Linked DNA regions of Mus musculus: regions 1, 3, 4, 5 and 6 are each reported to be linked to region 2. Evidence: microRNA targets listed by miRTarBase, many of them from high-throughput screens and not tested one by one. Region 2 holds a microRNA gene; each other region holds the end of a gene's coding sequence.

Region 1 (5,072 bases), not on the chromosome of region 2:
CTGTTTTCCCCTTGCAGAATTACCTCCGAGTTGCCTTCCAAGAGGTCAACAGCGGATGCACTGGGAAGACCCTCCTTGTGAGACCGTACATCACCACAGAGGATGTGTGTCAGCTCTGTGCTGAGAAATTTAAGGTGGAGGACCCTGAAGAGTACAGCCTGTTTCTCTTTGTTGATGAGACATGGCAACAACTGGCAGAGGACACTTATCCTCAGAAGATCAAGGCCGAACTGCACAGCCGGCCTCAGCCCCACATCTTCCACTTTGTCTACAAACGAATCAAGAGTGATCCTTACGGGGTGATTTTCCAGAATGGAGAAGACCTCACTCCCTCATAGGGGACACTTGGGACTTCCCATTGATACATCCAAAAAGGGAGCTGAGAGTCTAGCTTTCTGGCTGCCTTGGGTTTGAGCTTAGAAGACAGCCACCTCCTCAAGCATCCCTCAGTTCAGTGACTAAGCCATCCATAGGCTGATTTGGCCAAGGGCATCCTTTAGATACATTGCCCAGATGAGGTAGCTGAGATTTGGGAAATAGTAAGACTCTCATCCAGAAATGGTAAATTGCATTTAATGGTTCAGGTGTCCTGAGATCACTGGTTAGTTAACTAGTTAACCTTAGCCAGCTTCAGGGTTGGCTTACACATCTGTATATGTGCTGAGGAAACACTTAAGGTACAAACTCTTCTCTTGGATTCGATAGCAGCTGTTGACAAGACTGTCCGATGCAGTTCGTCAGGTCCCTCTCAGCTTTGTGGATGGCTCCATCCTTCCCTCTTGCCCTTCTTTTGTCCATCCTTCATCCTATACTTTTTTTTTTTTACAAAGAGCCTTTGTGTTTTTATATATTTCATAGAAAATTTTATAGCAGTTGCAGGTAAACTGTCAGGATTGGTTTTTAAAATATTTTTGTAACTTTTAAAATATTCTATAAGTATGCATGTGATTTAACATTTAATATTTGAAGATAAATCTCTTGCTGGATTTGAGAGTACTGCATTTTAGACGCCTCATAGATAATCTCTCTTCTATAACTGGATATTTTCGGCAAATTTGTGGGGAGAGACTTCTGGTTGTCTTAAAGAAATCCCTGACGCTGGCCACAGGCTGCCTTTGAAAAATCGGGTGTACTGTTGTTACATTGTTGTTACATTGTTCACTTTTAGCGGTGTATTGTTACATTGTTCACTTTTAGTGCTGGTGTCTGTTTATGTTTTTAAGCAATCGAGGCTGAGAATTAGAAGAGAAATGAATGTAGAGAGAGGTAGAGAGAGAAACACAGACTCTAAGGGGGGGACTGAGGAATGTAGTCTGCAGGTTCAGGCTCTTCGCAAGACGTTGGAAAAGGAGTCAGTACTGTAAAATATGTGCTGCGGTGAGCTTTGACAAAGATCTGTTCCATATGCTATCTGCTTTGGGGAAAAGTAAATCAAGGATAACGATCCCTCTGACCCATTTTGTAAGCCGACACTAAGGACATCCATTTATTTGGAGGCAGAAACCAAGTCATGTATAATACGAGTTTAGTTGAGTTCAATGAGATGTTGATGGGGAGAGAATGCACTAAAACCAAAACCAAACCAAAAACAAAACAAAACAAAAAACAAACCTTCTGTATTTGGTTGGGGCATGGTAGAGCTAACATTCACACACTAGCATGCTGGGTTCCATCCTCAGTGTGACAAATAATGAGCAAAACAAGCAGAAAACATGGATGTATGGTGAAGTTAGACTTATGTTGTATAAGATGAGTTTATGGACACACGTATTCCAGAAGGGTCATACATCAGTGTAATACAGATCATTGCAAAACAAAAGCAGAAAGCCATGTTACTATCCTGTGTAAGGATGTTCAGGCATCTGATCTGGAGGACCTCGTACCCTGTACAAGGCTTTTGTTGTCCCAGAACCCTCCCTTGGCACATGCTGGGTTGTGCTTCCTTTTGTAAATGATTTTCAATGGAATTTTGCACATAATACATTGTAATACTGTACAATAATCCTATGTAAAATAATTTTTGCAATATTCTTCAGTTGTCTTTTTTGTTGTTGGTGGTGGTGGTGGCAGCTATTTGTTTGAGTCAGAATATAATCATGTACCCAAAGATGCTGTGCAAGTGTACATGACAGTGGCTGGGGCTTGGTGGCCTCTGCCTTTTACCATAGCACCCAGGAGGCAGAGGCACATGGATCTCTGTGAGTTGCAGGCAAGCTGTGCTACATAGTGAGACCCTGTTTCAAACATCCAGGGGCGCAAACACACATGTGTACGCATGCACACAGTACACAACCATGAACTCCACGTTGATCTGGTAGTTTTGAAGAGCAAATAGGACACTGCTCCAAAGCTTATGGACCAATGGAACAGAAATCAAAAAGCGAAGAGAACAGTTGGTCCATGGCCCACAAGTATTTGCACGATTATCCAGCCCAGTACTTGGCTTAGATGGCTCCAGAGCAAATCACAACTGATCTGAACTCAGAGCCAGGCAGGGTCCTGCAGACAACTCCTCCCTGTCCTTAGGCAACCTCTGCTGTATCCTGGCTGAGAGTTAGGATTGCAAAATCTGCTAGCATCGCAGGCCTGATCCTCTGCTGGGTGTTCTGGGGATTGCAGCCATGCGACTGCTAAGTGCCCATTGCATCCCTGTGGATAGGGAGAAGGGAAGTTCAGAGGGTTTCTGGGATATCCATAAGATAGCTACTTCAGAGACCAGAAGGAAGGCTGACTGAGCTTGCTTTCAATGTTTGGAGCGAAGAGACACTGCTCGCGACATCTGTCCAGTTGCCCTCCCAACTCTGCAAATTTAGACGATGAGGCTGTCCTTAGGCTGAGGTACTCCTCTTAGATTAAAAGCGGGTCACGACATCCAAATTAGGCAGTTCGAGCAGGCCCCGTGAGAGCAGAGTCAGAAAAGCTAGAATGAGCAGAAGAAAACATCACAAGACTTGCCCTGGTTTGTCATTGGGCAATGCTTCCCTGGCAGAGTTTCAACACATGTGTCTTCAGTTTTCCCCCCACGCAGGCATTTCTCACTTCTCAGTTTGTCAGGAAACAGGCCCTGGTGGAGTTTGGATAGGGTAAGAGCAGAGTAAAAATATACATGCTGGACGGAGGGAGAGGAGGGTGCACTTCCAGACCTAAAAATATCTTGAATGGCAGCCAGAGGAAGGAATTTTGTTTTTGATGTTGGACAGACTGCCAACTATGACCCCCTTAGGGACACAGAAAAAAAAGAAAGAAATGGAAATTGTTAAGGTTGTTTGTATCATGTGGAAGTTACTTTAAATCTACAAGCAAATGCAAACTAAAGGAAGGAAGCTGGGCCTGACTGCTTCCATTCACAAAGGCAGCCTCACTGCCCTAGCAGCTCTGACCTTCCTCTTCTGGAAGAAACATGAAATAAAAGGGGCCTGTGGTGTTTAGGAGCCTGGCTCTACCCTCAGGTGTCTGGGAAGACTCACACAGGTGGGGATCTGTCTATGTGGGACACGTGGTGTAATTGCCCAGAAGTGTCTGAGAACAAAATGGCGACTCTCTGTTTTCAGACCATTCGAGTATGGGTAAATTTGAGACCCAAATGTTGTTTGCCATTTGGTGATCCTTAGTCGTGTGGGGAAGATGACCTTCTCCACAAGTCACATTACAGTGCCGAATCACAAGCAGATGGCGGGAAAGGAGAGGGAGGGAAGAACTGGCATTTGTTTCAGGAAACATGTTCCATACTGAAAAGGGTCTGTGTTTTAGCATCAATGAGTGGGTAGCAGCTGGCCCAGACTTCCACATGAATATTGACTCTGTTGGGGAAGGAACCATAGGGAGTTTAAAAGAACAAAACAAAACAAAACAAAAAGAGGGAAGCATATTTGGAGTTAGGAGTGTAGCTTGATAATACAGGGCTTGTGTAACATACTCTTGGTCCTGTGTTCGATACCCAGCATGCACTGCACACGCACGGCTACCCACCACTCCTCACTCCCACCTGTACCCCCCACACACACACACACCCACCAGGAACTCACTCAGAGATCCGAAGGGTATCAGTACTCTTCATTTTACATTTTGTTGATGTCATTTGATGTTTAAGACAAGTTTCACCATGTACCCTAAAACTGGCCATAAACTTGCTGTGGTCCTCCTGTCTCTGACTCCTGAGTCAGAGACTTTGTTTTCTTTTCAGACTAAGAGATTGAACCCAGACTAGATAGGTGCTTTACTATTGATCCCCACCCCAGTTCAGTCCAGAGCCAATACTCCTTTGTTGTCATTTTGAGATAGGGTCTCACACAGTCCAGGGCGGTCTCAAGCTCCCTGTAAAGTCAAGTATGGGGCTGGTGAGATGGCTCAGTGGGTAAGAGCACCCGACTGCTCTTCCGAAGGTCCGGAGTTCAAATCCCAGCAACCACATGGTGGCTCACAACCATCTGTAACAAGATCTGACTCCACTCTTCTGGAGTGTCTGAAGACAGCTACAGTGTACTTACATATAATAAATAAATAAATAAATCTTAAAAAAAAAGTCAAGTATGACTTTGAACTCCTGATCCTGAGTGCTGGGATTATATACATGTGACACAGAGCCCAGCTAGTGGGCCAGTACTCTTACCTGAGGGATAACCAAGGTTTGTCCTGAGGATTCTGGATGGAAAATGTCCCAAGGAGTGACGTGGCTAGGGGACGGGTTCTTTTCTTGATTCTAATAAAAACTGGAATCCTAAAGCAGGATTTTCCAAAATTCTTATTCTCTATATTAAAAGCACCTAGAATAGCATTATATGACTGCCTCTGGGTATTTCCTTTGACAGAATATATTCAAATCAATGTAGCTGAAGATTTTACAGTTTGCCTTGTGGGGATGAGGTCTACAGAGAGCTAGGAAAGACATTCAGAATACCCCTGGCTTGCCTCTCGGAGCAGCTCGTACATTTCCAGGACATTTGTCACTCACACAATAGAAGGTGTAGTCACTAGCTCTTCCTCTTTCCTTCATGTGATCATCTCCAGTTCTTCTTATGCCCCACCCCCACCCCACCCCTACCTGGGAGCTATAGGGCATTTATCTCTCGCAG
Region 2 (5,072 bases):
TACCTACCTAGTTTTTCCACTTACCAAAGACAGGGCAGTGTTAACATTAACACATGAAACAGAATGAGAAAGTGGGGTAAAAAATGTGCCTGAGTCCTTTCAACTTTATGAATTTGAAACTTAAAATAGAACCGGGCGTTTTTTTTTTTTTAACCTATAGTTCTTTGGGCGAGCACCATCAGCACCTGAGACTGGGTTACAAAGGCAAATCCTGAGGGCTCACCTGATGACAGTCACTCTCTGGAGATGGGACTGGCAGGGTTTTCAGTAGTGATAAAACCAAAGACTCAACGCAAACTTAAATTCCAGTTATATTCAAATGTTCCTTCAAGACATACCCTATAAAATTTGTTTTCAGCTCAGTGGGGGAAGGGCACTTGCCATCGGGCCTAAGAAATCTAAGATGTATGTCCATGACCCACATGACTAGCTCCCTACAGTTGTTCTCAAATCACCACATGACACACACACTAAATAAGTAGATAGATAGATAGATAGATAGATAGATAGATAGATAGATAGATAGATAGATAAATGTATGTAAATGCTGGAAGTCTAGGAGTGGAGGGGTGCCTACCTTTAATCTCAGCATTCTAGAAGCAGAAACACACAGATCTCCGCAAGTTCAAGGCTAGCCTAGTTTACAAATTGAGTTCCAAGCTAACCAGAGCTACATACCAAGACGCTATTTTAGAAAAGCCAATAGTATTGCTAATTTAAAAAGAGAGCCATTGCCATATCCAGGGATCCATCCCATAATCAGCTTCCAAACGCTGACACCATTGCATACACTAGCAAGATTTTCCTGAAAGGACCCAGATATAGCTGTCTCTTGTGAGACTATGCTGGGGCCTAGCAAACACAGAAGTGGATGATCACAGTCAGCTATTGGATGGATCACAGGGTCCCCAATGGAGGAGCTAGAGAAAGTACCCAAGGAGCTAAAGGGATCTGCAACCCTATAGGTGGAACAACAATATGAACTAACCAGTACCCCGGAGCTCTTGTCTCTAGCTGCATATGTATCAAAAGATGGCCTAGTCAGCCATCACTGGAAAGAGAGGCCCTTTGGACTTGCAAACTTTATATGCCCCAGTACAGGGGAACGCCAGGGCCAAAAAGGGGGAGTGGGTGGGTAGGGGAGTGGGGGTGGGTGGGTATGGGGGACTTTTGGGATAGCATTGGAAATGTAAACGAGGAAAATACCTAATAAAAAAAAAGAGAGAAAAAAAAGAGAGCCCCAGGCTGGAGAGATGGCTCAGTGGTTAAGAGCACTGACTGCTCTTCCAGCGGTACTGAGTTCAAATCCCAGCAACCACATGGTGGCTCACAACCATCTGGAATGGGGTCTGATGCCACCTTCTGGTGTCTATGGAGACAGCTACAGTGTACTTGTCATATAATAAATAAATAAATAAATAAATAAATAGAATCTTTTAAAAAAGAAAAAAGAAACCCATTTTTTTTCAGACTTATATATCAGCTTTATTTTGCAAATTTCAGGTTTGTTTACATTCAGTGCAATCAAAATGTCAGGATTTCAAATATATTTAAAAATATGTAGTTTTAAAAAATTAGACTCCAAGCTGGGCGTGGTGGCGCACGCCTTTGATCCCAGCACTTGGGAGGCAGAGGCAGGCAGATTTCTGAGTTCGAGGCCACCCTGAGTGAGTTCCAGGACAGCCAGGGCTATACAGAGAAACTCTGTCTTGAAAAACCAAAAAAAAAAAAAAAAAATCCACTCCAAATGTGTTCAAAGCAATGACTAGCTAAAGGATTTTACAATCTTACTATAGCACTGATAGACGGCTGTCCACATAGGTCCTGCGGTTTACAGATGGATACCGTGCAATTTTCCTCCTATTACACCAACCAAAATTGCATCGTGTTCCACCTGATAACAGCAAAACAGTTCATTTCATAATTACAGTCTAACATAACTTACAATACTCAGAAACTAAAAGACGATTAAAAACCCTCTTTCTTCCTCAGGCCGGGACAAGTGCAATACTTTATATCTAACACAAGTAATGCCACCAATCCCCACCTGTGGATGAATGGGCATGGATGCTGAAGATGTGCATAAAGGTGTCCATTACGATGCAGAAAGGTACACATTCCCACAATCAGTTTTGCATGGATTTGCACAGCCATATATTCACATATACGCTGAACTGCAAATCTGCAAAACTAATCGTAAGTAGCAATGTCCTTGCGCTGTAGTTGCTTCAACAAGACCTTGGTTGATCCAGGAGTACTAGAAGTGCTCACACTGCAGTAGAGTGGTATAAAAACTACCTGCACTATGAGCACTTTGGCACTACTAGGATCCGAGCTTGTTCTTCTACACAACTGTATACTACAGTCTCCGCCATCTGTTTCTCGGCGAAACACTGAAAGAGCCTTTGAAACTTGTGCCGTTCAAATCATTTCTCAAGATATGCTTTTCAAATGCAAGGTAAGAAGTAGCCTGTGCGAGAAGGGGCATTTAGGGCAGTAGATTGTAAGCTGCTTCACTAACAGCACTAGATGCACCTTAACACAAGAGACACATTACAAGGAGCAGCTCAAAAACATCCACAATCTAACTATGCAGAAACCAGGGGACTCAGCGGCCTCTGATTAAATCACCATGGTAATGTAAGAAGTGCTGGCACTGCAGTAGAACTCAAAAAGCTACCTGCACTGTTAGCACTTTGACATGGCCAAGGCATACTCCAGGAGTGTAACCTTGAAGTCTTCCACGAACTCTTCTTTGCCAGATCTGCAGACTCACCTGGATAAACACACACACACACACACAGCAAGTAAGTGAACTGTGAGTTACTATTTCTAAAACAAGTTTGCCTTCCGTTAAGAGTGCAAATGGGGTTGTGTTACTTCAAACATTAATAAGCTCAATTATTTACACAGACTTAAACATGAATAACACTGGCAATCTCAGAATGTCTGACTCTTAAGAGTAAGAGGATTTTGGACTCCCTCTCCGTCTAAGGAAATTTGAGATTCGCATCCCAGAAAATTTGCAGAGCTGTAATATCCACCATGGTTTTCTAAGAGGCAAGAGCCCAGGAAAAGATGTAAGCAAAAAAATAAATAAATAACATTAGGGTGAGTACTGACGTCTTGAGCTCATCCAGAGCTTTGGGGAGCCACTCGGAAGGTCTCTATGTTTGATTACATGAAGCATCCCTGCCCCCAGCCCATTAAGAGAAAATGATAGAAATTTCAGAGCCGCTTTAAGAAACAGTTTTACACTCTTCACATACCGCACAGATGGCCTAGAGATGTCACATTTTCATCTATTTCAAAGGGCTCTACTTCTGTTTAAACATTTATGGACCCATTTTCTCCATTAAACCTAAAGAAGTCAGATTAGCTCTTTGGCTTCATGTCATTATCTTCCACAGGAAAAACCTCTCTCATTTCCAAGTGTGTATCTTACCCAGGAAAATGCTGCAGAGGACAGTCTGAGGGGTCACGAGCTCCCTCCCTCCCATGATGGAATGTTTGTGTTGATGGGGGGACACCAATAAACTTCAGGGACACAAAACTTGAAATGTGTTCAATGAGAAAGGATATTTTAAATGTTGGAACTTTTCGAAGCCACTTAGTGACTAAGATAGTTCTTAAAACATTTTAAATATAAATTAGCAAAACTTTTGAAGTAAATATGAAATCTGCTTCCTATAGTGCAAGTATTGGCTTATTATACTTTTCTTCTTGAACTGGGTTCCTACAACTAGAGATTTTTGCCTCCACTAAAAATATATTACAAAACCTGACTCAACTTCGCAAAACCATACCTCAGCCCTCCAGAGAAAGCTCCTTCTAGCTAATACCTTTCTTTAACACATCTGCTCTCCATCATATATACTAGAAAGTCGCTGTACAACTTCTAAAATTGCAAAGAGGACCCAGTCTTTTACCATTTCGGGATTTTCTCTGGTCTATTCCCGCATCTTCAGCAGCGGCTCCAGTAGAGATCTGTGAACCTCCTGGGAACGCAGGGTGTGCTCCAGCCAGTCATGCCACGCGCTTAGGTCTTCAAGACACCTTAGCGGCCACCAAAATTAAACAGAAAGAAACAAAGCATTATGGGAAACGGAGTTCTCCATTCAAAGCCCCCAAAACGCGCCAAGCTTAAGCCTCTCCCTCCATTCTCGGGTTGGTGGGAGGGAAACCAAGGTAGGTCGGGAGTCCTCCCGCCCCACACCCCACGTGCACCCTGGCATTTGACCACCCACAAGTTCTCCAGAAACCTTCAGAGCAACAAGGGAGAGTCCTTTTCTCACGAGTTGCCTGGCACCCCTCAACTACACTCAGGTACTTTGCTTTTCTCAAGTCTTGCCAGCTCCATCCCCTCCCACCTTAGTTAACTCTCTGGGATCACAGCTGCGCCCGCGGAGGTACGCATCTCCTGGTCCAGTCATCCAGAACAAGCGCGTAGGGGATCTGCCAGTGACCCGCCCTGGCAGGTGGCGCGCGCGACCATCCCGCTGCTGTCCTGCCTGCCAGGATCAGGGAACCGCACGCATCTTCCTAGAGCTCCTGGCCCTCTGCTCTCCTAGCTGGTGGAGGAGGGAGGGCGGCGAGGAGCCACGTGCAGGAAACGCGCCCCGGCGGCCCACGCACACCTAACCCCCAAAGTGTCCGCGCAGCACCACTTGTGCACACGAGCCTGTGGCAGCGGTCCGTCACCTCGAGCTGCGTCCCAAAGCCCGATCCCTGGGAAAAGCCCGCCCTTCGCCTTTAATAGCCTAGGGGGGAAAGCCCGCCCCCGCCCACTCGGCCCACACAGGAATTAGGAAATGGAACCCCCACACCGCCCAGGCCAAAGCCCACGGTGCCCCAGTGACACACAGGACCCGCTCCCTCAGCCTTGCCCTTCTGTCCCCAACACCAGAGTCCTTCCTTAATCCAAGCACCCATGGGATGCCAGTCTAAACCAGTGCCACAGTCGCCTGCCCAGAATGGCGCACTCATTACTACCTTGTCCGGTCAGGCTCCTGAAGCGCTTGTCCCATCCCCCTCTGGAGATAGGCTACGAGGCCCAAGCAGTTGTGGGACCC
Region 3 (5,066 bases), not on the chromosome of region 2:
GCTTAATGTCTCCCTGCTCCACAGCTGGGCTCTGTCAACATGAACCCTGCTGCCTTGTCCTCGAGGGCAGGGCACACCTTGTTTACACCTGCCTCCCGTTGCCATTCCAGAGGAAGGATGTAGCCACTCTGCTGTGGGCCTCTGAGTTGGAAGAACTGGGACTCTGAGAGCCCCAGGACACAGGTTGGGGACAGAGCTTCCAGAGACACACAGACTGCTCTGTCAGGTTGTGATGGAATACATACTGGTTTTCACCCATGGCTTCTGGCTCATTAGTGTCCCATTGCCCTGATGCTCTCTAGAGTGAGTAGGGTCGGGTTGGGGCCTTACAGCAGGCCTGCCTGTGCCTCTGAGAATCATGTCCTTCTATTTGACCTTCTGCCCTTCTTTCACCTCCCTTTCTCCCCAAGCAGCCCACAACCCCGAATCTTTCCCCAAGGCAATCATGGACATCTGCTCCTACAATCTTACATTCTTTTATTTTACTTTTGTTTGTGTTGTGAGGCAGCATCTCCTGTAGCCCAGCTTGGCTTCGAACTATCTGTGCAGGCTGGTCTTGAAGGCCTGATCTTCCCGCCTCCACCTCTACCTCCCAGGTACCAGGCCTTCAGGTATATTCAGCAAACCCAGTTTATTCTTAAATTTGTTGACCTATCTGGATAATAGACCAAGACCCTCATTTAGATGGGCACTTGCCCCTTACCAGCAAGGAAGCAAACTGAGTAATTTCCAGACCTCACTTGGCATCCCACCCAAACCACAGCATTAGATCAGACCATTTTTGCCCAGTCACATGCCAGCATAGTGGTCCAGGTTTCAGCTGTTCCTTCGTGTGATGTCTCCATGGAAACTCAAAAGGTCAGGCCTTGGAGAGTTTTCAGACAGTCAGATACAGGGAGGTTCCCAAAAGGTGGCATGCATCTTACACATCTTTGTGAATTTTAAAATAATTGTATTTGTTTTAGACTGGTTCTCTGTACAGCCGAGAGTGGTCTACAGTTCACTATGAAGCTCAGGCGTTACGAGTTCATTATCACCTTTTGCTTCTGGGTACTAGGATTACAGGCCTGAGCCACCGTGCCCACTGTTCACCCCTTCACCTGCATCCTTTGACCATCTTTCATGAAAAATTGAGAAAAGTGTTTCTCTAGGTTCTGCAATATGTTGAACTCCGAGGAGCGGGTTGTGGGGACGCCTGACTAACCACTGGTGGTTGAGAGGCACAGGCAAGAGCGTGTGGCTCCAGGGAGCACGGCTGTGGCAGTGTTTGGAGGAGCTGCTTAAGCGGGGTGGAAGTGGAGGAGAGATTCAGGAGCAATTTGGAGTGGTATCAACTGGTTCCCAGCCAGGAAACCTGAAACCGTTCTAGAGTTTTGTTGGGTTTTTGTCGCTGTCTTCAGACACACCAGAAGAGAGCATCGGATCCCATTGCAGATGGTTGTGAGCCACTATGTGGTTGCTGGGAATTGAACTCAGGACCTCTGGAAGAGCAGCCAGTGCTCTGAACTGCTGAGCCATCTCTCCTGCCCCATTCTGGATGTTTTTAACAAAGGACATTTAACACAACAATTTGGTGACAAAAGTATGGGGAAGGAACTGACAAGATGGCACAGCAGGTAAAGGTGCTTGTCACAAAGCTTGGCCACCTGAGTTCAATCCCTGGGACTCACATGGTGGAAGGAGAAAACTACTAAAACTTGTGTTCTGTAAGCCACGTGCACTTGCATGAGCATGCACACACACATACACATGCGGGCACACACACAGTGGTGCATGGTAGTTTAAAGGTTGGTATCTAGGAGGTGGCTGTGGCCAGATGATGCTGAGGGCAGAGGAGGGTTGCAGAGCCTCACCTACCACTGCAGGGACTTTGAGCAAAGTGGTTGCTTCCTCTCACCTCCTCACCTCCCATGACAGACAAAAATGCAGACCAGGAATCAGAACCCAGCAGCACAAGAATGAGGAATTTTCCTTTGTCCACGTGGAAGCTCTCAGCCCCACCCTTGGAATTTTTATGGGGACCTCATTGCACAGGCTTGATTGACTCCAGGACAAATACGTAGAAATAAAACCAGACCCAAAGACTGTGATCCAAAGACCCAAAGATTGCTAAGATGCTGGGGGCAGAGGGTGGGGTGGGGTGGGGCTGGGGGACACCCAGCAAGGCCTGTGTTTGGTCCTTCAGTATTCCCTCCTCTGTGAGAGACCCGCTAAGAGAACCAAGGATGACGCTGAGATATTTTAGGCTTAAGCAACTGAATGGGTAACCGAGCCATGTACTGACAGGGAGAAAGTGGTGTCACAATGGATTGCAGGGAAGGCTCCACTGTCAGCCTGACCAACACACACACAGACTGTTCATGAGCCTTACAAACTCAAACCAGCTGTGATCACGTCAGGCTTGGGGCTGTGTTGCTGCCTCATTCTGACACTAGGCCAGGCTCTCTGCTTTCTCACCATTAGCGTTAGAGTTTGCCTTATGGGGAGTGGAAGTGTGCAGTGATCGCTCAGATGCTCCGTCAGGGCTCCAGGGAACAGACCGCTGTAGCTACCGCTCTTATGGTCACTACTAGTCCACATTAGACTAACAGATACTGAACTGCTGCTCCCGGCGGGTACTCAGGTGCCTGCTGTGTGATCGAAAACATTTAATACAGAAAAGACTGGCATGGTCCCTACACAAGGATAATGTGATGTGGAAATTCATGAAGGGGTCCATAAAACTTTTTTTTTTCTGTTTGAATCTGAATCTGTTGTATTTTGTACAGGGCATTATCCTCTTGCTACTTTGTGAATAAATCTGCTTAAAATGTCAAAAAAAAGAAAAAAGAAAAGAAAGAAGGAAAGAAAAAAGAAAGAGAGGAAGAGGAGGAGGAGGAGGAAAGGCTAGTGTTTATGCACTGGCAAAGCACTTGTGTGGCACACACCAGGCCCTGCAGAGGACGTGGGGTTCATTTAACGCATACTTGGAAAACACGGTGGTAGTACATGGCCTATAATCCCAGCACTCGAGAAGTGACTGCAGGAAGATAAGATCACATTGCCTCTGTCCAGTACTGAATTCACGGCTAGCCTAGACTACATGAGTCTCAAAAAACAAACACAAGTAAATTTTGAAGAAATGAACAAACACTTCTTTCTTTGGTCAAAGGAGTTTACTGTGTGTGTAGCAACTGCCCTAACCAGTAACATGAGAAAAATTACAAAACAAGATACGAAGAAGGGAGAATAGACGCCGCACTCTGATGGTCGCCAGTCGTTTTCAGGTTGCTTTTTAAAAAGTATTAGCTCTTCGGAGCTCAGTGGGCTCCTGCTTTCTCTGTCCCCCCTAAAGCTTCTGGCCCTGTTGGATTATATACCCAACTGTGACCATCCCCTAAAGAATAGGATGGGGCAGCCAGGCTCGGTGGAGAATGAGGCTGCATGGTGGGAGAGACATGCAGAGAGGGCAACCACCAATCCTCAGTGCTCAGAACACTCACAGTGAATTGCGGAAGGCCGAACATGGGGAACCCAGGAAGGCCCTGGGCCTTCCTCCCTTCCGGGGAATGTGCTTAAAATGCAGACACTTGTACAAAACGATGCAGAGCTACATGTCGTCCTGGGAGCCAGCCCACCGGTCACCTCTTCTTGCTCATCTTGTGCTAACATCAAAAGCTGGCACCTGCAGGCCCCAACCAATGGGGGGTCTAATGCCCAGTGAAGAAGGTCTAGGGTATGACCGATGATACCCAAGAGGAGGTGGGGACAAAAGGGTAGAAAGATATGCAGCAAAAGGGACTTATTTGTGCTTGGCCAGGTCCCTGGGCAAGGGGCTGGTTCCTGAGCAAAGGGCAGTTTGGTTGTATACATAGAGCAGGGGCTAAGTTTTCCCTGAGGGAACAAAGCTGCATAGCATAGGAAGGACATCTGAGTTGTGCAGGGACCCTCCTGTCCCCCACATAGGCATCTCTCTGCCTATGTGCACAAGGTGCAGAGGATACTAAGGTAGGACATATAATAGGCCCATCTCTTAGATGTTGGGTGACACCTGAACGCACCTGGCCAGGGTTCTGTGTGCCTGGACCAGGTTATCACATGCAGGGCCCCAAACTCAGTGAGTGCAAGGGGCTAGTTCCGACCAGGGGTCTGCCAAGGGTACCCATGCCTTGCAGGTTAGAGTGCAAAGAAATACACATGCATGACCCACAGGGTATCCTTGCCAGGCAGGCCAGATGGCAGTGACATGGTTTCTTCATGGTCACAACAGGGACAGGCAGAGGAAAGCTTGAAGGAGACACCAGGGTGGGCACTCTGGGGAGTCCACAGGCCACCTGGGCCTCATGCCTCACCATCAAGCTCAGAGCCAAATCTCATCACTGCTTACACTGGACACACGGTAGATGTAGCCCAACATCGGGAGACGGATGAAACCTGTGGGTCAGAGATGCCAGGGGATTAGGAACCCTGGTTCTCTGGAGCTTGGGGAAGTCCCTTCTGTTGGCAGCACTCAGGGGCCTTGGGTATAACAAGCACAGGGATGGGAAGAGGAGAACAGGAGATCTCTGCTCATTACCTCGGCTGGTGAGGAGGCCACCAGGCTCGGCTTCTAGAAGCTCTGGACGGCTGCTATGCTGAGCCATTGGCCGCTCTGTTGCTTTCCCTGTGGGTGACAAATGGAGTGGTGCCCAGGACAGGGTTTTGTCTAGTGGGACTTGTCTCCTCCTAAGAACCGGGGTGTCTCTTTCTTAAAAGTTCTGAGCATTCAGCACAGGCAGAGAACTGGTCTGGGTACCTCTGAGATCTGGAGTGAGGTCATTGAGCTGAAGGTTGGATGGGAGGGACATGTTCTCCCGTGGCAGGCGCACATTATTCAGTTTCAGGTTATTGGAGTCACTACGGGATAGACAAAAGCTAACATAGACCCTGGTACCAGCAGATAGGTAGTCTGCTTTGAGGCTCAAGCCAGACCTCCTAGAAATCCCAGGTTGCCAACTGTCCTTTACTTTAAAATTCAGTGATTTGTACTTTAGTTTGGCCCATCTGCCCAGCCCCAGGAAACATTACCTAGATATCAGAGAAGGACG
Region 4 (5,072 bases), not on the chromosome of region 2:
GCTTGGTTTCCACAGTATTGATGGGCAGTTTGGAGTGGCCTACGACAGCAATGTTCTAGTCTATGAGGGAGGCTATGTGAGCTGGTTGCCCCCAGCCATCTACCGCAGCACCTGCGCAGTGGAGGTCACCTATTTCCCCTTTGACTGGCAGAACTGCTCTCTCATTTTTCGGTAGGAAGAATCACTTCAATCATGATATTGAGAAGGGCCTAGAGCAGGGGACAGGGCCTGCTAAGGAGGGATAGGTGGGGTCTTCTTTGGAAGGTCTTTGGGAAGGAGTTGGAGTGAGGCACTGGAGTGAAGGGGTGGGAAGCTGGTGTAGGTTTGCAGTAGGCGTGGGCACAGGTTTCTTGCTGCCATCTTGTAGTTTGAGCGCATAGTCGCAGCTATTCCCCAGGAGGAGTCTGAGGCATAAAAATTACTTGAGTCCAGGAATCCCTTGGATAGCACGGTAAGCCCATCAGCAACCCAAAACAGAACAGAAAAGGAAGCAGGATTGGGAACGCGCTGGGGAATGTGGGCAAAAGAAGAGAGCCATATTACCCTGCCAGATTGAAGCTTCCAGGGTGGAACTAAGATGGCTGCCAGCTTCTGGGGTAAAGACTGGCCCTGTTTCACAGCTCCCAGACCTACAATGCTGAGGAGGTGGAGTTCATCTTTGCCGTGGATGACGACGGCAATACCATCAACAAGATTGACATTGACACGGCAGCTTTTACCGGTGAAGGGATATACCCCCTTTCCAAAAATTCTTCTCCCAGATAAGGTTCAAGGGGGGACGTTCAGGGTAGGGCTTGGCCTGAACCACACAACCGGAAGCTGAGCTTCTTGAAGTCAGTCTAGATGTGTTGTTTCCACACCCCCACCAGAAATGCCCCTCTCTACCATTCTGCCCCCGTGCTAACAGCCCAGGTTTCAAGCAGCCCTCTTGGCCTGGAGTTGCAGGTGTGCGGGCTGACTGTGCCCTATGTCCTGCAGAGAATGGAGAATGGGCCATAGACTACTGCCCAGGCATGATTCGCCGCTATGAGGGAGGTTCCACAGAAGGTCCTGGAGAAACTGACGTCATCTATACGCTCATCATCCGCCGGAAGCCGCTTTTTTACGTCATTAACATCATTGTGCCTTGCGTGCTCATTTCTGGCTTGGTGCTGCTCGCTTACTTCCTGCCTGCGCAGGGTAAGGGGTGACCCTGACTCCTGAACCCCAGGCTGGGCTTGCTCCCTGGCTTGCCTCTCACAGCTTGCTCCCTCTAGCTGGTGGCCAGAAATGCACGGTCTCTATCAACGTCCTGCTAGCCCAGACTGTCTTCTTGTTTCTAATTGCCCAGAAAATTCCAGAGACTTCTCTGAGCGTGCCACTGCTGGGCAGGTAATCTCAAAGTGGATCCCACAGAGATAGGGGCATGCATGGAGAATGTAGCCAAAGAAGGCTTGCATAGGGACCTGGTGTTGTCCCGTTCTGGACTTTTATTTGGACACAGGGTTGGACTGGGACAGTGATGGATTATCTGTTCCCCCATTCTCCTCACTGCTGCTGGGCGACACCTTGAGGTTTCCCGAGTCTCTCTGTTAAGAGGACAGTATAGTTCAGCATCTCCTTAATCATACCTCCTCTGACCCATGTCGCACCCTTTATCCCAAACGCACCGGATCCCCAGGGACCCCAAGGCCCAGTTGGCATAGGGTTTGTGGCAGAGATGAGGTAGACCCGTGCAAACCTCGTCCACACAGGTACAACCACGCCCCCTGGATCAGGTACCGGGCACTTGCGCCAGCTGCCGTTCCAGCTTGCCGAATCCCCTGCCCTGCGGCCAGGGCTACACGGGCCAGCGCCCTACCAGGATCCCCAGTGTCTGGGGCTGGGCCTGGGCAGTCGTTGCCGCCGTCCAGTCGCTGCACCTCCTGCTGCAGCCACAGGGCCGAGATCTACATTGGGGCATATGGGCTAGAGGTCCTTGCTTTTGTTGGCCTAGCCCTCTCCCCCTTTTATTCCCATCCCTCAGCCTCCCAGAGCAGCACCTCTAACAAGGTGGCTCCAAAGCTCATGATGCTGGCTGCAGCTTCTCTTAGCACCAGCCCTAGGGTGGCCTTCTGGGTGGGCGACTTGTCGGATTCCAGGGGGTCCTGGGACTTAAGCTCTCTGAACCTTTGCACCAGATATTCGTGAGCTGCGGCCACAGCAAGTTCCAGGGAAGATAGAAGTGGAGGCTGTAAGGCCACCTGGAGGAGCAAGGGTAGTGAGTGGAATGATCACATGGAAAGGGCCATAGCAGGAAGAGCTGGGGACCTCTCCAGATTCTGCCATTCTAATACCCTCACCTCGGTGGAGCTGTGGAAGTGGTAGACCCACAGCAGGGTGTCCAAATTGCTGGGAATCCCCTTCATGTCCGCAACAGATGGTATATGCAGAAGGGCCAGGACAATACTGGCATCGTTGAGGAGGATCAAGAAGTAACGCCACCAGCTGTGCGGAGGTGGTATTTGTGAGGTAGAGGGCAGCTAGTGCCTTGTTTGTGGGGTGCTGTGACATCAGGCTTCTGTATATCAGGTATCTTATATTCGTCATGGTGGTTGCCACGCTCATTGTCATGAATTGCGTCATCGTGCTCAACGTATCTTTGAGGACGCCAACGACTCATGCTACATCCCCTCGGCTGCGCCAGGTAAGCGCTGGTTGGAGAAAGTACTGCCCAGGGGTGGGAAGCGGGCTTGGAACCTCTCTCTGCCCCGGCTGCAGATTTTATTAGAGCTGCTGCCGCGTCTCCTGGGCTCGAGCCCACCCCCAGAGGATCCCCGAACTGCCTCACCAGCGAGGCGTGCCTCGTCTGTGGGCATTCTGCTCAGAGCGGAGGAGCTCATCTTGAAAAAGCCGCGGAGCGAACTCGTGTTTGAGGGTCAGAGGCATCGGCACGGAACTTGGACCGGTAAGCACTGCTCTTGGGTCAAAGGCATACACTCGCCGTTAGGGACGCTCTTTTAATGACCTAGCGCTTGCTGTTGCCTTAGCAGCAGCCCTCTGCCAGAACCTGGGTGCTGCAGCCCCAGAAATCCGCTGCTGTGTGGATGCTGTGAACTTTGTGGCTGAGAGCACAAGAGACCAGGAAGCCACTGGAGAGGTGGGTTGGGAGGTTGAGGCGGAGCAGTGCTAGATGCCCCGCCCTCCAGGCTCCTCCCTCGCTAAGCTCTCTCTCACAGGAACTGTCCGACTGGGTGCGTATGGGGAAGGCCCTGGACAATGTCTGTTTTTGGGCAGCTTTGGTGCTCTTCAGCGTTGGTTCTACTCTCATCTTCCTTGGGGGTTACTTCAACCAAGTTCCTGATCTCCCTTACCCACCGTGCATCCAACCATGAGCCTGCACTGGCACCCACCTCTCCCCCACCCCCCAAGAAAGAGATTTTGAAAACAGGCCGCTGACAATAAATCTGGTTTGTGAACTTGCAGGAGGGGTTGTGTGGTCATGTGGGTGGGTCCAACTCCTCAGGGAAGTAGAAGATGGGTGGGTGGTTTGGTCAGGCACTTGGAGGCAATTGGTTCAATTTTGCTCTTGGCTCCTTCTAACCTAAAGAATGTTTATCTAGTTGATAGCCAATGAGGTTTTTACAAGACCCAGATATAGAAACACTGAAGCCAGAAGTCTGGCCTGGCCCTGCTGGGGCTGGTAAAAACTATTCTCAAAGGGTCCTACCGTGTCAGGACTGATCCCTGGCCTATTCATCCACCTTACTTCGTCTCTATTATCACAGTAACTTCACAGAGCCTAATGCCTTTCCTCTACCCTCTGCATTCTCAACTCTCAAATCTCTCCAGGATTGAGAGAGAACAATAGTAGGATCTCAAAATGGTGGAAGCTGGTTGAATTGTCTTTATTAACAAAGGGGATATATCCAAGGCCACTACATTGAGAAAGGATACAGGAGGGAGAAGGGCTACTTGCTGCTCACACTATATACAGATGCAAGCAAGGGAGGATAAAGGCTGGGAGCTCTGAGCTCTCTCCTTCTAGGGAAGGGGAGAGGCTAGAAGGGGTGGGAGTGGGGAGGAAAGGGGGGAATGTTTTGGCTATGGGGTCCCTCCTCCATTCCCTGGGGGTTGGGGGGGAATCATTAAAGTGCTTTCAGAAAATGAGGAATGGTCCCTGCCCCTGGAGTGGCTGGTGACCGCCCCGCCTCCAGAACCCAGGGCCCAGTGAACACCCCCCCCCCAGAGTCTGGTACATTCAAGGGGGGAGCCGGCTCCCCTGGCGTGCAAATAAAGGGGTCAGGGCCCTGCTCATTCAGCAGCAATGGGGTAAGGGGTCCAAGCCCCAAGCGCTCTCCTCTTCTGTGGAGAAAAGGGGAGGAGCAAGTCCCACTCAATTCCTGGTAAGGGGAAGGAAGCTGTGTCATTCCCCACAAGTTGGGGAAAGGCACAGTTTTGAGAATGTTGGGGGAAAGGGTGGTCACGTGATCACGAAAGCTTCAGGGATATGAGGTCACGTTCCCAGCAGGCTCCAGTGAATCAAACCAGTAAAAGCAAAAGCCCAAGGGGGTGGGAGGGCAGGGGCGGCCTGGGTAGTCTGGCTGTGGGAAGAGAGCTGGGTCCATGTGGGGAGCCCCAGCCCAGGGGCCTCGTCACCAGTTCATGATGCAGTTACGGTTCAGAGTCATAAAGTAAACTTGGCTGCTTCCTCCAGAGCGGACAGAGGCAAAAAACACCTGAATAAAGTAGAAGAGACATCACCAAGGGCTAAGTGTGTGTGTGTGGTGTGGGGGCGGGGGGGAGGGGTATGCTGGGAAGAGAGACGAGGTTGACACTGGGGGAGAGAGAGGAAGTGAATGACACCTGTTTCTCTCTATCCCCAAGGAAAGGCAAAAAAGTGTTACCAGGTCCCTGGGGTAAAGGCAACAGAGCCCACAGGGAAGGAGGGTGTGGCTCTGACAGCTCAGAACAGCAGAACCATTCCAAACCCCCAGATGCCTGCCCAGAGCAAGGTCTGGAGAGGCAGCCCATCCCCTGGGCTAGGCTCCTTTCAGAGATACACTGCCTCACCTTGTCATTGCGCTCACACAGGAACTTGAGCCTCTGGGCTC
Region 5 (5,072 bases), not on the chromosome of region 2:
TTCCTTACATAATCCAGACATTTTGGTTACCTGCCCCTTCTTTTCTTCTGCACCTTTGGCCTCCTGGCTGATGTACCGGGCTCCATTCCACTCTCTCCCTTCCCCTCCCCCTCTCACCAGGAGGTTCAGGGTCACAACCACTCTGGACTCTCCCAGATGTGTCAGCCTCTGGCTATGCTCTCCCACATCTCTATAATAAACTTTCTCCTTCACCATACTGAGGAACTGTCATGTCTTTCTCCTTCCTCCCTTCCTCCCTCCCTCCCTCCCTCCCTCCCTCCCTCCCTCCCTCCCTCCCTTCCTTCCTTCCTTCCTTCTTTCTTTTCCCCCCTCACTACTGGCATAAGCTTTGGATTTAAATAGAGGAGGAACCGAGGCAGGAAAACAGGGGTGTGCATAATCAAACATCCAATCAGTTGGTCTCTGTCTTATTCTAGTGAAGGGTTTTGAAGAAGTCCTTCCTTATGGCTGTCATGACTTAAAGGCATCAAATGGCCCCCACACGATCATTCTAGGGTACAGCCTGACTTTCATGGGTAATTATTCTCATCTTTGGGCGTGGCCTCTCTGTCTGGTGGTCTTCTGCTGTGCTGGGAATCCAAGATGACTTCTGGAGGTCAGATTAAGGACATTGATTTCTGTCTCTGTCTCTTTAGCCTGGAGACAGGGACCAAAAGAAGGCAGAGGTGCTCGGCTTTCATTTTTTAGTTATCTTGAAGGCCCAAGGGGAAAAACCAAAAACAAATGTTTGCTTTTTAACAAAACAACTTCCAAGAGCACGTTTTAGCCCCGCCTCCTCTGGGGGTACCAGCTGCTTCTTTGGTCACTTTCACATCTTTAACACAAAGGGCTTCTTTCTTTCTCAACCCGGGAAGTCCCAACCCCGGAAGTCCCGACCCCGGAAGTCTGACTCTGGCTTCTAACCAGTTCCAGGTGATTCTAAGTAGGGCCTCTGTTAGCTTTCCAGGATCCAAACAAAGCAAATTCCTTTCTGTTCCTGAGGATCCCTCCTACTGTGGTTTGGATGTAAAAAGTTCCCTTAGGTTCATATATCTGAACACTTCGTCCTCGGCCGGTGGGGCTGGCTTGAAGGACTGTGAAATCTTAAGGGAGAAAAGTCCTGCTAAAAAGAGTGGGTCTCTGAGGTTTCATAGCCTAGCCCACTTCCTGTCCAATGTCTGCTCTCTGCTGGCAGGCTCAGCACGACCAGCAACCTCATGTGCCTGCTACCATGTTTCCCTCTCCTTGATGGAGTAGATGCATCTCCTCTTAGAGTGTGTGTCCAAATAAATCCTTCTTTTCCCAGGTTGCTTCTTGACACAGGTATCTGGTCATAGCAACAAGTCACTAACCCCTTCCCCCTATGGATTCTCCTTTCAGTTGTTTTCAATCTTTATGACACGCCTCATCAAGTCTTTTCATTTGTCTTACCCTTTTTAAAAAAATCTTATTCTTTGATCATTGTGTGCACGCATGGTATGTCTGTGTGTGTACATGCCACGGGGAGCATGTGGAGGTCAGAGGACAACTTTACTGATTTCTCTCCATCCACCTTAAAAAAAAAGTATGTGTATGACTATTTTGCCTGCATGTATGTCTGTGTCTCACATGCATGTCTGGTGCATGTAGAGGCCAGAAGAGGGCATCAGATCCCCTGGAAATGGGGGATCCAATTGGTTGTAAACCACCATGTGGGTACAGGGAATCTGACCAAGGTCCTCTGCAAGAGCAGCCAGGGCTCTTAACGGCTGAGCCATCTCTCCATCCATCTTCCACTTTGTCAGTCTTTGCCTACTGAGCCATCTCTCTGGCCCACTTTCCTTGTTTTCTTCATGTCAAGACATAATCAAAACTGAGTTGTCTCTCTGCTCTCCTCTGTCTCATGTGTTAGTTGTTGTACAAGCTTTCCTGTCTTGCCAGTTCCTGCCTCTGAAGGCAGTAGAGAGTACCAAAGTCAAACCTGGAATTGAAGGTTCCCCTCACTGTTTCCCCATGCCACATATTCCTTCAGAGCCTAATTTCTTATCAGTGCATTGATATGTGAGCCTGGGCAAGACCCACTGGCTGGCTGCATTGTAGCCTTGACAGGGGCCATACGGCTTTTCCCCCATCTACAGAATACAAGTCTTGCTCAAAGGTCCTACTGAAGCATGTTTACCCTGGACCCTAAGCAGAGGTAGTCAGTATCTCCTATGCTCAGCAGTGTGTCGTCCCTTATGCTTCTAGAAAGCCAAGTAATACATGGGTTTTCATGCTGGTTGCTAAGCTTAAGTCCCTGGCCCATGGAGTACAAGCAATGTTATTTGTTGACCTGTCACTCACCCACCCATTCATCCTGGTTATCATTCTGAGACAGTCATGTACACAAACCTGAACATCACTGAACTTCCATACGGAAGCACCCATGCGTGTCACAGGCACTACACAGACACTGTAAATCCCAAAGACACCCAATACTCTGCTGCTGCTCTGGGTATGTGATAAATTGTGTCTTTGACTGTTTTTCTTTGAAAGTTCTGGGGCTCATTAACCATTGAGTTGTTGTCTAATAAATATGTTGAATAAATGAGCTGACTCCTAGAAACCAATGGGAGGCTGTGTTGGGGTCTGTCTCCCAATTGTAAAGGTATCAGTTACAGATAGTTTAAAATACTCTACCATACAAAGCATTTTCAGCATAGATGTGCACACACCAGCACAGCCCAGCAGAAGCATGCAGTAGTACTGTAGGAAGGCAGTCCCGGACACCACAGTATGTTTCTGCTGTGACTGAGCCTTGCGAGCCCCATGTGTGACCGTCATAAGCCAACTTTGCTGAGTTGGATCTTTCCTCTCCTCTTCATGTGGGTTCCATGATGACTCAGGCCATCACACTTATGTAGCAAAATCTTTTACTGGGTGAGCCACTTTGCTTCCCTCCTCCCCAAGCTATCCTTTGCATACACCATGTGTGTCACAGAATCTTGTTCACCTACCTTCAAACCTTGTATGTCCAAAAACAGATGATAGAAGACCTGGGCAGATCCTCTCAGTGAAGCCACCTTAACACCTTAAATGTCCCAACCTTGAGGTGAAGTGCTCACTCAATGGCAAAATGGCCTACGTGACAATAACCATAAGATCACAAAGGCCCAGTTTGCTTTAAAGTCTTTATTATCCTGAATATAAAAGACAGAAGTCCTCTAGGATATAACAGAGTTTTTTTTTTTTTAAATGTGGAAACATTATTTTTTTTACAAGTGAAAAAATAAATACCTCTTGGAATAAAGGCTTATATGCTAATATGTGCCATAAAAAAGTAGAGTTTTAATATCTGACAAAATGTCTGTGCAAAGAAACAAATGCATAAACACATTACTGCTACATTAAGGCAATATGAAACGTAGACTCAGAAATCTCAGTAAAGTGACAGTGTAGGCTTCTAGCTTTAACTTAGCTAGTATTGCACCCGATGAGGTCAGCTAGGTTTCCTGACACCCTAGAAAACCCCCTAGCTCACTAGCTTCCAAAATGCCCAAGTGGGGGTGAAAACTTAGAATATGGAAACATAAAGAAGTAGCCCTACCTCTGGAAGACACCGAGGGGGCAGGACAATGAGTATGGAAGCACTGACATAGGAAAACTCGAACAACGAGAAACAAGACATACACAAAAAGGAGACACTATCTAGAAACCTATAAGGCTGTAGAAAGTTTGATCTTCAAGCAAGGCGACACCCATGGGTGCAGCTGGAGTGAGTGCTTGGGAAAGTGAAGAACCACTCGGGCATACTGAGTGGCTCTCTGGCTCATCTCTCTCTCTCTCTCTCTCTCTCTCTCTCTCTCTCTCTCTCTCTCTCTCTCTCATCTTTTTCCTTCAAGGAAGCTACTCTCGCTTTCCAATCTCCAAAGCCCAGGGAGTGCTTGACTCTACCATGTATGTCTCTTAACCAAACTGGTAGCATTTTTATCAGTGAAAGGCATGGGGTGTGGAATGAGGGGAAACGGAAGGGCTCTAGGAAGGAAGTCACCCACGGTGAGTTACCTATTGGCTCTCAGCCAGACTGCTTCCAATCTGACAACATTGCTGTCAACCCTTGGGAAGTCACAGGATTGCTTTTTTTTTTTCAATCTGCCAGCTTTTCCAGTTGTTCTTGAATGAGTTATAAAGACAGAAATGACTTTTATAATGAGGACTATTTCTTTAAGAAAAAAAATCCCTATTAAAAATATTCAGCGCTCCATGACCATACAAAAAGAACCAAGGAAATCCTTAAAACACTTACAAAATCTGCTGCCCGGGGAAAAAGTGAAGGAGACATATGACGTCATTTCCTAAAAGGTGCCCACGGTTGGGCCATGTTGCCACTTGACTGACGAAGACGATTCTATCTACTCCTTTACTTGATCATTAAAAAAAAAAACCAACCCTAAAGTTCAAGGAATGTGTCCGTGTCCCAGAGTTCTTCCTGGTGGCCATGGGGCCTGTTGCTTCTCCTCACGGAAGAGGTGTGGTCACATTCTTGTTTTCTTTTCCTCCTTGTTTCTGAAAATGTCTCATGGCAGATGGGTGTTGAGAGTGAAATAGCTCTTCACAAAGTTATTATTCTTATAGTTTACAATACTGCAGCTTGTGGGGACATGGCTTGTCCATCGAGTGCAGGACGCATCAGATGACAGTCAGATTGAGGAGACTGGTGTGGGTGGGCAGGTAGACGTGCTGGACATGCTCCACACGGGATCTGCAGACCGGACAGGACTGCAAAAGAAGCCACCACTGGTTAGGACATTTGTGGGACCTGGGAGTTCAGCCTTGGTGCCCCGACAGTCAGTTTTCTAGATACGACGCCACTGTGATCCAGTTCTAAGCTTTCAAGTGCTCTGGAACAGGCTTGAATATTTATACTTTATACAGATTAACAACGAATGTTAGGAAAAGACATCCACTGAAGAAAACTATTTTCTGTCAAACTGTGTGTGCGTGCGTGTGTGCGTGTGCATGTGTGCATGTGTGTATGTGTGACCAATGGTCATCCTCGTGTGTCAGTTCTCAAAGACCTCAACCTGTTTCTGGACACAGGGTCTCTCAGATGG
Region 6 (5,072 bases), not on the chromosome of region 2:
GTCCTGGGAGCTAGCTCCAAGTATGCCAGGAGCTCCTTCATTAAGAAGAATGTCAACCCCATCACCTGAGCTCCTTCTGCAACAAAGCACTTCACTTTCCCTGGCAAATGGGTCAACTTTAGGGACCTGTCTCCAGCCTCAGAAATCCTTAGGTGTTGGGCACCTCTCTATTCACCCAGTGTCAAGATAGGGGGACATACACATACAAACACACACACACGACCACACACGCACCAAACTAGGCGCATCCTTGAAGGTAAATTACTGCTGCTTTTATAGCCCTGGTACACAGTACTCTGTACATGACAGACATCCGGTAAATCTCTGGTAGGAACTTATTTGACTTTCTTACAAATTATAAACTTCTCAGTGCCAAGAGGTCCTATAGGCTACATCTCTAGTCTCTGCAGCATCTAGCAGAATTGGATATAATCCATCAGCCAAGCATTTTTATGGTGTTTGCAAAATGAAACGCTAACTCCGATCAAAGAACTTACAACCTTTTCCTCCATTCTGTCCTATATGCCCTCAGGAAACTTCTACCCTTCAAACTTCCACAATAGTCCTTTAAACCTTTTGTTGCTGGACTCTACTTTAGGCCCTATCAATGTGCTTTCTGTTTCACTAGACTGTGAGCTCCCTGAGGCCAAAGGATCTTTTTTAGACAATTCTAATGACCACAGTAAACATTCACTAAAGAGCTCTTGGTAGTTTCGTAAGTACAACTTCAACCAAGTTCTTATGTTTATGAACGAATTGTTTAAAGGAAAAGAAAAATTCAGCTTTTGTGTGAGGGATTCAGCTTTGTGTTGCATCAGTGCTATCAAGTTTTGTTCTTGAAGAAAACAAACCTTTTCCTATATGGCAAGAATACAATTTTTTTTTAAGGATGAAGGTTACAGTAAGGTCATAAGGCAACTCTACAAGTTTCTAGCTTCCTACAAATAGCACCTTTTATTTTAGCTTGCAAAATAGTTTATTATAAAAGGTTACTCTCATGGACTCTTTTCATTACGGAGCTTTAACATACTAAAGACCCAGACTAGCCAGACAAAGCAGAAGCAATACTGAATCTATGAAGTCACCTATGGAAAAATAGGTATTTTCCACTTTTCAGCAAACAGCACATCTCAGTAGGTGTGTAAAGTCTTTGTTCTTGTTGCATGTAAGGAAGTCAGTTGCTTGCTTTTGTGTTTTTAAGAGGATACCAGGGTGGGTTGGTACTAGGTAACCTAGTGGCCTTAAACTCAAAGTAATCCTCCTGCCCCAACCTTGTTTAATAATTTCTAAAGCAATTAACTAAATATTGGCACAAGTTAGAGGCATACTTTATTTATACTTAACTCTTTCATAGATTTAGCTTTTTATGAATTTTATTAATGTGGTGTGGTGTGGTGATGGTGTGTGTGTGTGTGTGTGTTGTATGTGTTTTTGTGTATGTGTGTATGTGTGTGTATGTATGTGTGGGTTTGTGTGTATGTGTGTGTATGTATGTGTGTGTATGTGTGTGTATGTATGTGTGTTTGTGTGTATGTGTGTGTATGTGTGTGTATATGTGTGTATGTATGTGTGTGTTTGTGTGTATGTGTGTGTATGTATGTGTGTGTAAGTATGTGTGTTTGTGTGTATGTATGTGTGTGTGTGTTTGTGTGTGTATGTATGTGTATGTGTGTGTATGTATGTGTGTGTATGTGTGTATAAGTATGTGTGTTTGTGTGTATGTGTGTGTGTGTGTGTGTGTGTGTGTTTGTGTGTGTATGTATGTGTGTGTGTGTGTGTGTATGTGTATAGGTGCATGTGCACATGTCATGCACTTCTGTGGTCAGAGGACAAGTTGAAGAGGTCAAGTCTCTTCTCCCTTGGGTTTCCAAGATCAAACTCAGGTTGTCAGGCTTCGGTGGCAACTACCTACTGAGCCAACAGCTCATAATTTGTTTTAACTTATGTTTGAGTTATCTTATGAAAGAACAACAAAACAAAAATCAAAAGAATACCTAACTCTACTTATTGTTGAGCTTTTCAAGAGATGGAGTAATCTGAAGGTTTTATCCCACTACTTCATCTCACTAAGCACTGGGGTTAAATGACTCAAACTCCTTTTTTTTTTTTTTCCTTTTTTTTTTTTTCTTTTTCTTTTTTTTTTTTTTTTTGGTTTTTCGAGACAGGGTTTCTCTGTGTAGCCCTGGCTGTCCTGGAACTCACTCTGTAGACCAGGCTGGCCTCGAACTCAGAAATCCTCCTGCCTCTGCCTCCCGAGTGCTGGGATTAAAGGCGTGCGCCACCACGCCCGGCCTCAAACTCCTTTTTAATAATATGTATAAGTAACAACTCTCTGTAAGGCCTTCAATATTCTCCTGTTGCTATGATCCGAGCAAATACCATGTACCAGGTAGTGATTATTTCCCCAGAGCCAGAGATATTGCAGGATCTCGTACATGCTCTATCTATCACTGAAGCTACAGCCTCGGGTTCATAATGATTTCTAATCATTCATTTATTAAACAAATATTACCTCATCATCTAATGTATGGATACATCAGTGGACCAGATATTAAGTTCATCCTTCCAAGAGATGACAAAGCTATAAAAGGCAACTCTGTAGGCTGGGTAATGTGCTCTTCATTTTACACATGAATGAATGGTGGGGGTGCTGGTGGAGACCTGACTGCCACTCATGTGCTTTCCAGCAAACAGCTGCTTTTCTCCACGTGTCCTACTTGGTTTAACTTAGTTCATGAAATACAACAGTTGTGGAAACCGAACAAGCCGCTAGTGGGAAGGCTAAAGGGCTTGCTCGAAAGGAATTGCTCTCAAATCTCCTGCTAATATAAAAGTAAATGTTGTTATTCCAGTTGTTTGGGATTACACATTGTCTTCAAGCAAAGACTAAATAAGGCCTAGAAATCCACATTCCTAAGAGTAGAAAAGCAGAAGGCTCATAGGCCTATACAAGATGGGCAGAAGCTTAAGGGTTTTGTGGTTTCTTCTGCTCTCCCTGATGGTCACAAGAAGGCTGGCAAACAGTAGGGGCCCAAGGAGTTCCAGAGAGGAAGGGAGGGAGGGAGGGAGGGAGGGAGGGAGGGAGGGAGGGAGGGAAATAGAGAAAGAGAGAGCTCCAGAGAGAGAGGAGAAGAGAGAGGGAGGGAGGGGGAGGAGGAGGGGAGGGAGAGGGGCAAACAGTGGAGACTATAGCTCTGCCAGGCTTTGTCTTCAGCACACACCTTTGCTTCCCTTGCCTCTGCCTCCCAGCTACAGTTAATTACCAGGTGCTTTCTAACCAGACAGTAGAAAGGCTTCTTCTACTGAAGTCTTTTCTTCTTCTTTTTCCTCTGACACTTCTTCCCTGACATAATCAGACCTCTCACAGCAGTAGGGGAAATTCTCTGGGAAGAGGCTACAACTTGACAAAACCTGCCCTTTGCCACGGTTCTCCCTTACGCTGGTACTGTATAGCCAGCCACTCACCCTATTTACTACCCCATACCTCCCCAAGTTATCTACCTACAACACTGACCAGGTCACTTCCTTCTGCAGACTGTGGCAAGTTCACAGAAAGAAGCTCAAATACATAATGGTGATGCAAGAACTCCTGTCAGCATCTGAGCTGAACCCCCACCTTTCCAACCCTCTCTCACTTATCTGCCTACACCAGAGGCAGGCAGAGACACCCTCGTAGGTCTCTCTGCAGGCTGTGATCTTTGATGCCTCCAATGAAATGTTTTTTCCTCAGTAAAAGCTTCACTCATCTTCAAGCAGCTTTGGTAACCCTCCTCTCTGCTTCCACGTTTTGCATGCAATTAATTATAGCATTTAAGTCATTCACTGTAATTTAGACTTTGCAAGGTGAATCTTGCCATATTCCCTTTTTCCTTACCCCGACCCTCTACAACCGCCCCCCCCCACCATCTTCCTGCCTAGTGTAAAATACAGCAAAGCTTCAATAGAATGTCCAATAATCAATATTGTAAAACACAAACCACACGTTGAGAAATGACACAATTATTCCATACCAGTTTATTTTAGATAATGTGCTTCAAAAACTTTATCATAAATAACCTTTCACATCATAAAATAACTTAGTAAGATTTATAATAAAACTTCTGAGAATTTAACATCTCATCAAAATACATTTAAACTGTGGCTTGAAAATATGATTAATCCTCTTTTACTTTCCTTTTATTTGAGGGCATAAAGACCAAAAAAAAAAAAGAAAAAAAATACCCAAACTATTGCTATACATTTAAAGTTTCAACAAAGCAATATTTGGCTTATTTGAAAGTAACCTGGCCATCCTAAATTAGCAGTTTTCTTTCTTGCAGTGCTTTGTAGTTTTTGTCCCTTTTGCCTTGGATTTCTCTTTTCTCGCAGCTTCCTTCTTCAGGCTCACCTCTCTCTCCCTCTGCAAAGTCATCTCTGAGCCCTCGTGCAGTTGAACTCGGCCCCTTGACATCAGTTTCTGTAATCCTTGCATCAGCGTGGGGAGTGACTGCTTGAGTAACTACAAAGGTATTTCAAAACTTCAGTGCAATTTGGTTCAGTTATTTCCATTCGGATGCCATCACCGTTCCGGGAGATTAATCACGGGCACCCACTGATCCATGTAGCGACTTTCCCGGCAAAAACAAATAAGTTGACTTAAGGCAGGATCCTTCCATTGTGATGAATGTGGGTTCTGTGAACAGATTTTGAAAAAATTACTTCCCCGGAAAATAATCAGCTTCTGCTACTAATTGTGCTACTTTTGAAAGGGCCAAACCCCGAACATTCTGTTAAAAACAGCATCTAGCATAGTCTAAACACCTGTAACGTGCACGGAACTACACAGAGTTTTGCATATTAACTACCCCATTCTGCATGAGGTTACCATTCTTAAGACCTCCCTTCCAAGCATGTACCCTGGTGGGTCATAAGTAAAAGACTCCTGAAAAGCATTCTCAGGCTGTGTGCACGGTGAGGGCTGCAGGGCAGGCAGCTGCTGAACTCTTATCTTCCCTGACGATGAATAGCACATTTTACTGGCAGCAACAAGTAACCAGGCAGTCACTTCCCTACACAAGTCAGAAGAGAAAGAG

Evidence for each region. Region 2 holds the annotated microRNA mmu-miR-19b-3p (UGUGCAAAUCCAUGCAAAACUGA, at 2,127-2,149, opposite strand). A microRNA usually pairs through its seed, bases 2 to 8, with sites in the 3' UTR of a target mRNA and lowers its output. Matches are read on the target gene's strand: a 7mer-m8 pairs with bases 2 to 8, a 7mer-A1 pairs with bases 2 to 7 and ends in A, and an 8mer does both.
Region 1: the mRNA of Rin2 is a reported target of mmu-miR-19b-3p. Seed matches in the 3' UTR shown: 8mer at 1,969-1,976.
Region 3: the mRNA of Tmem25 is a reported target of mmu-miR-19b-3p. Seed matches in the 3' UTR shown: 7mer-m8 at 4,161-4,167.
Region 4: the mRNA of Mink1 is a reported target of mmu-miR-19b-3p. Seed matches in the 3' UTR shown: 7mer-m8 at 4,246-4,252.
Region 5: the mRNA of Mylip is a reported target of mmu-miR-19b-3p. Seed matches in the 3' UTR shown: 8mer at 3,327-3,334.
Region 6: miRTarBase lists Gadd45a as a target of mmu-miR-19b-3p. The part of its 3' UTR that is shown has no 7-base or 8-base seed match.

The regions. Positions count from the first base shown.
Region 1 is chr2:145,885,586-145,890,657 of GRCm38, forward strand. It overlaps Rin2 (Ras and Rab interactor 2), which reads left to right. Exons shown (of 13, transcript NM_028724.4): 13 at 18-2,031. The coding sequence ends at 338. The region is part of intron 2 of Gm39954 (a long non-coding RNA gene); the gene reads right to left. Among named protein-coding and RNA genes, the nearest start is that of Gm39954, 6.0 kb to the right of the region's middle.
Region 2 is chrX:52,739,865-52,744,936 of GRCm38, forward strand. Mir19b-2 (microRNA 19b-2) reads right to left here and starts at 2,202; the gene lies at 2,119-2,202. Mir363 (microRNA 363) reads right to left here and starts at 1,903; the gene lies at 1,829-1,903. It overlaps Mir92-2 (microRNA 92-2), which reads right to left and starts at 2,064; the gene lies at 1,974-2,064. Mir20b (microRNA 20b) reads right to left here and starts at 2,328; the gene lies at 2,249-2,328. It also overlaps Mir18b, Mir106a and Kis2.
Region 3 is chr9:44,790,636-44,795,701 of GRCm38, forward strand. Tmem25 (transmembrane protein 25) reads right to left here. Exons shown (of 8, transcript NM_001357385.1): 5 at 5,047-5,066; 6 at 4,775-4,875; 7 at 4,556-4,642; 8 at 3,137-4,413. The coding sequence ends at 4,340. Ift46 (intraflagellar transport 46) reads left to right here. Exons shown (of 12, transcript NM_023831.3): 12 at 1-2,079. Among named protein-coding and RNA genes, the nearest start is that of Tmem25, 6.1 kb to the right of the region's middle.
Region 4 is chr11:70,613,254-70,618,325 of GRCm38, reverse strand. It overlaps Mink1 (misshapen-like kinase 1 (zebrafish)), which reads right to left. Exons shown (of 33, transcript NM_001045964.1): 32 at 5,032-5,072; 33 at 3,844-4,697. The coding sequence ends at 4,614. It overlaps Chrne (cholinergic receptor, nicotinic, epsilon polypeptide), which reads left to right. Exons shown (of 12, transcript NM_009603.1): 5 at 16-171; 6 at 621-721; 7 at 979-1,179; 8 at 1,257-1,371; 9 at 2,551-2,665; 10 at 2,740-2,926; 11 at 3,012-3,118; 12 at 3,198-3,443. The coding sequence ends at 3,353. 4930544D05Rik (RIKEN cDNA 4930544D05 gene) reads right to left here and starts at 2,432. Exons shown (of 4, transcript NM_001145537.1): 1 at 2,322-2,432; 2 at 2,022-2,222; 3 at 1,721-1,928; 4 at 1,436-1,568. The coding sequence starts at 2,387. The coding sequence ends at 1,528.
Region 5 is chr13:45,410,086-45,415,157 of GRCm38, reverse strand. It overlaps Mylip (myosin regulatory light chain interacting protein), which reads right to left. Exons shown (of 7, transcript NM_153789.3): 7 at 3,218-4,737. The coding sequence ends at 4,648. Among named protein-coding and RNA genes, the nearest start is that of Mylip, 23 kb to the right of the region's middle.
Region 6 is chr6:67,031,101-67,036,172 of GRCm38, forward strand. It overlaps Gadd45a (growth arrest and DNA-damage-inducible 45 alpha), which reads right to left. Exons shown (of 4, transcript NM_007836.1): 4 at 3,996-4,672. The coding sequence ends at 4,559. Among named protein-coding and RNA genes, the nearest start is that of E230016M11Rik, 3.0 kb to the right of the region's middle.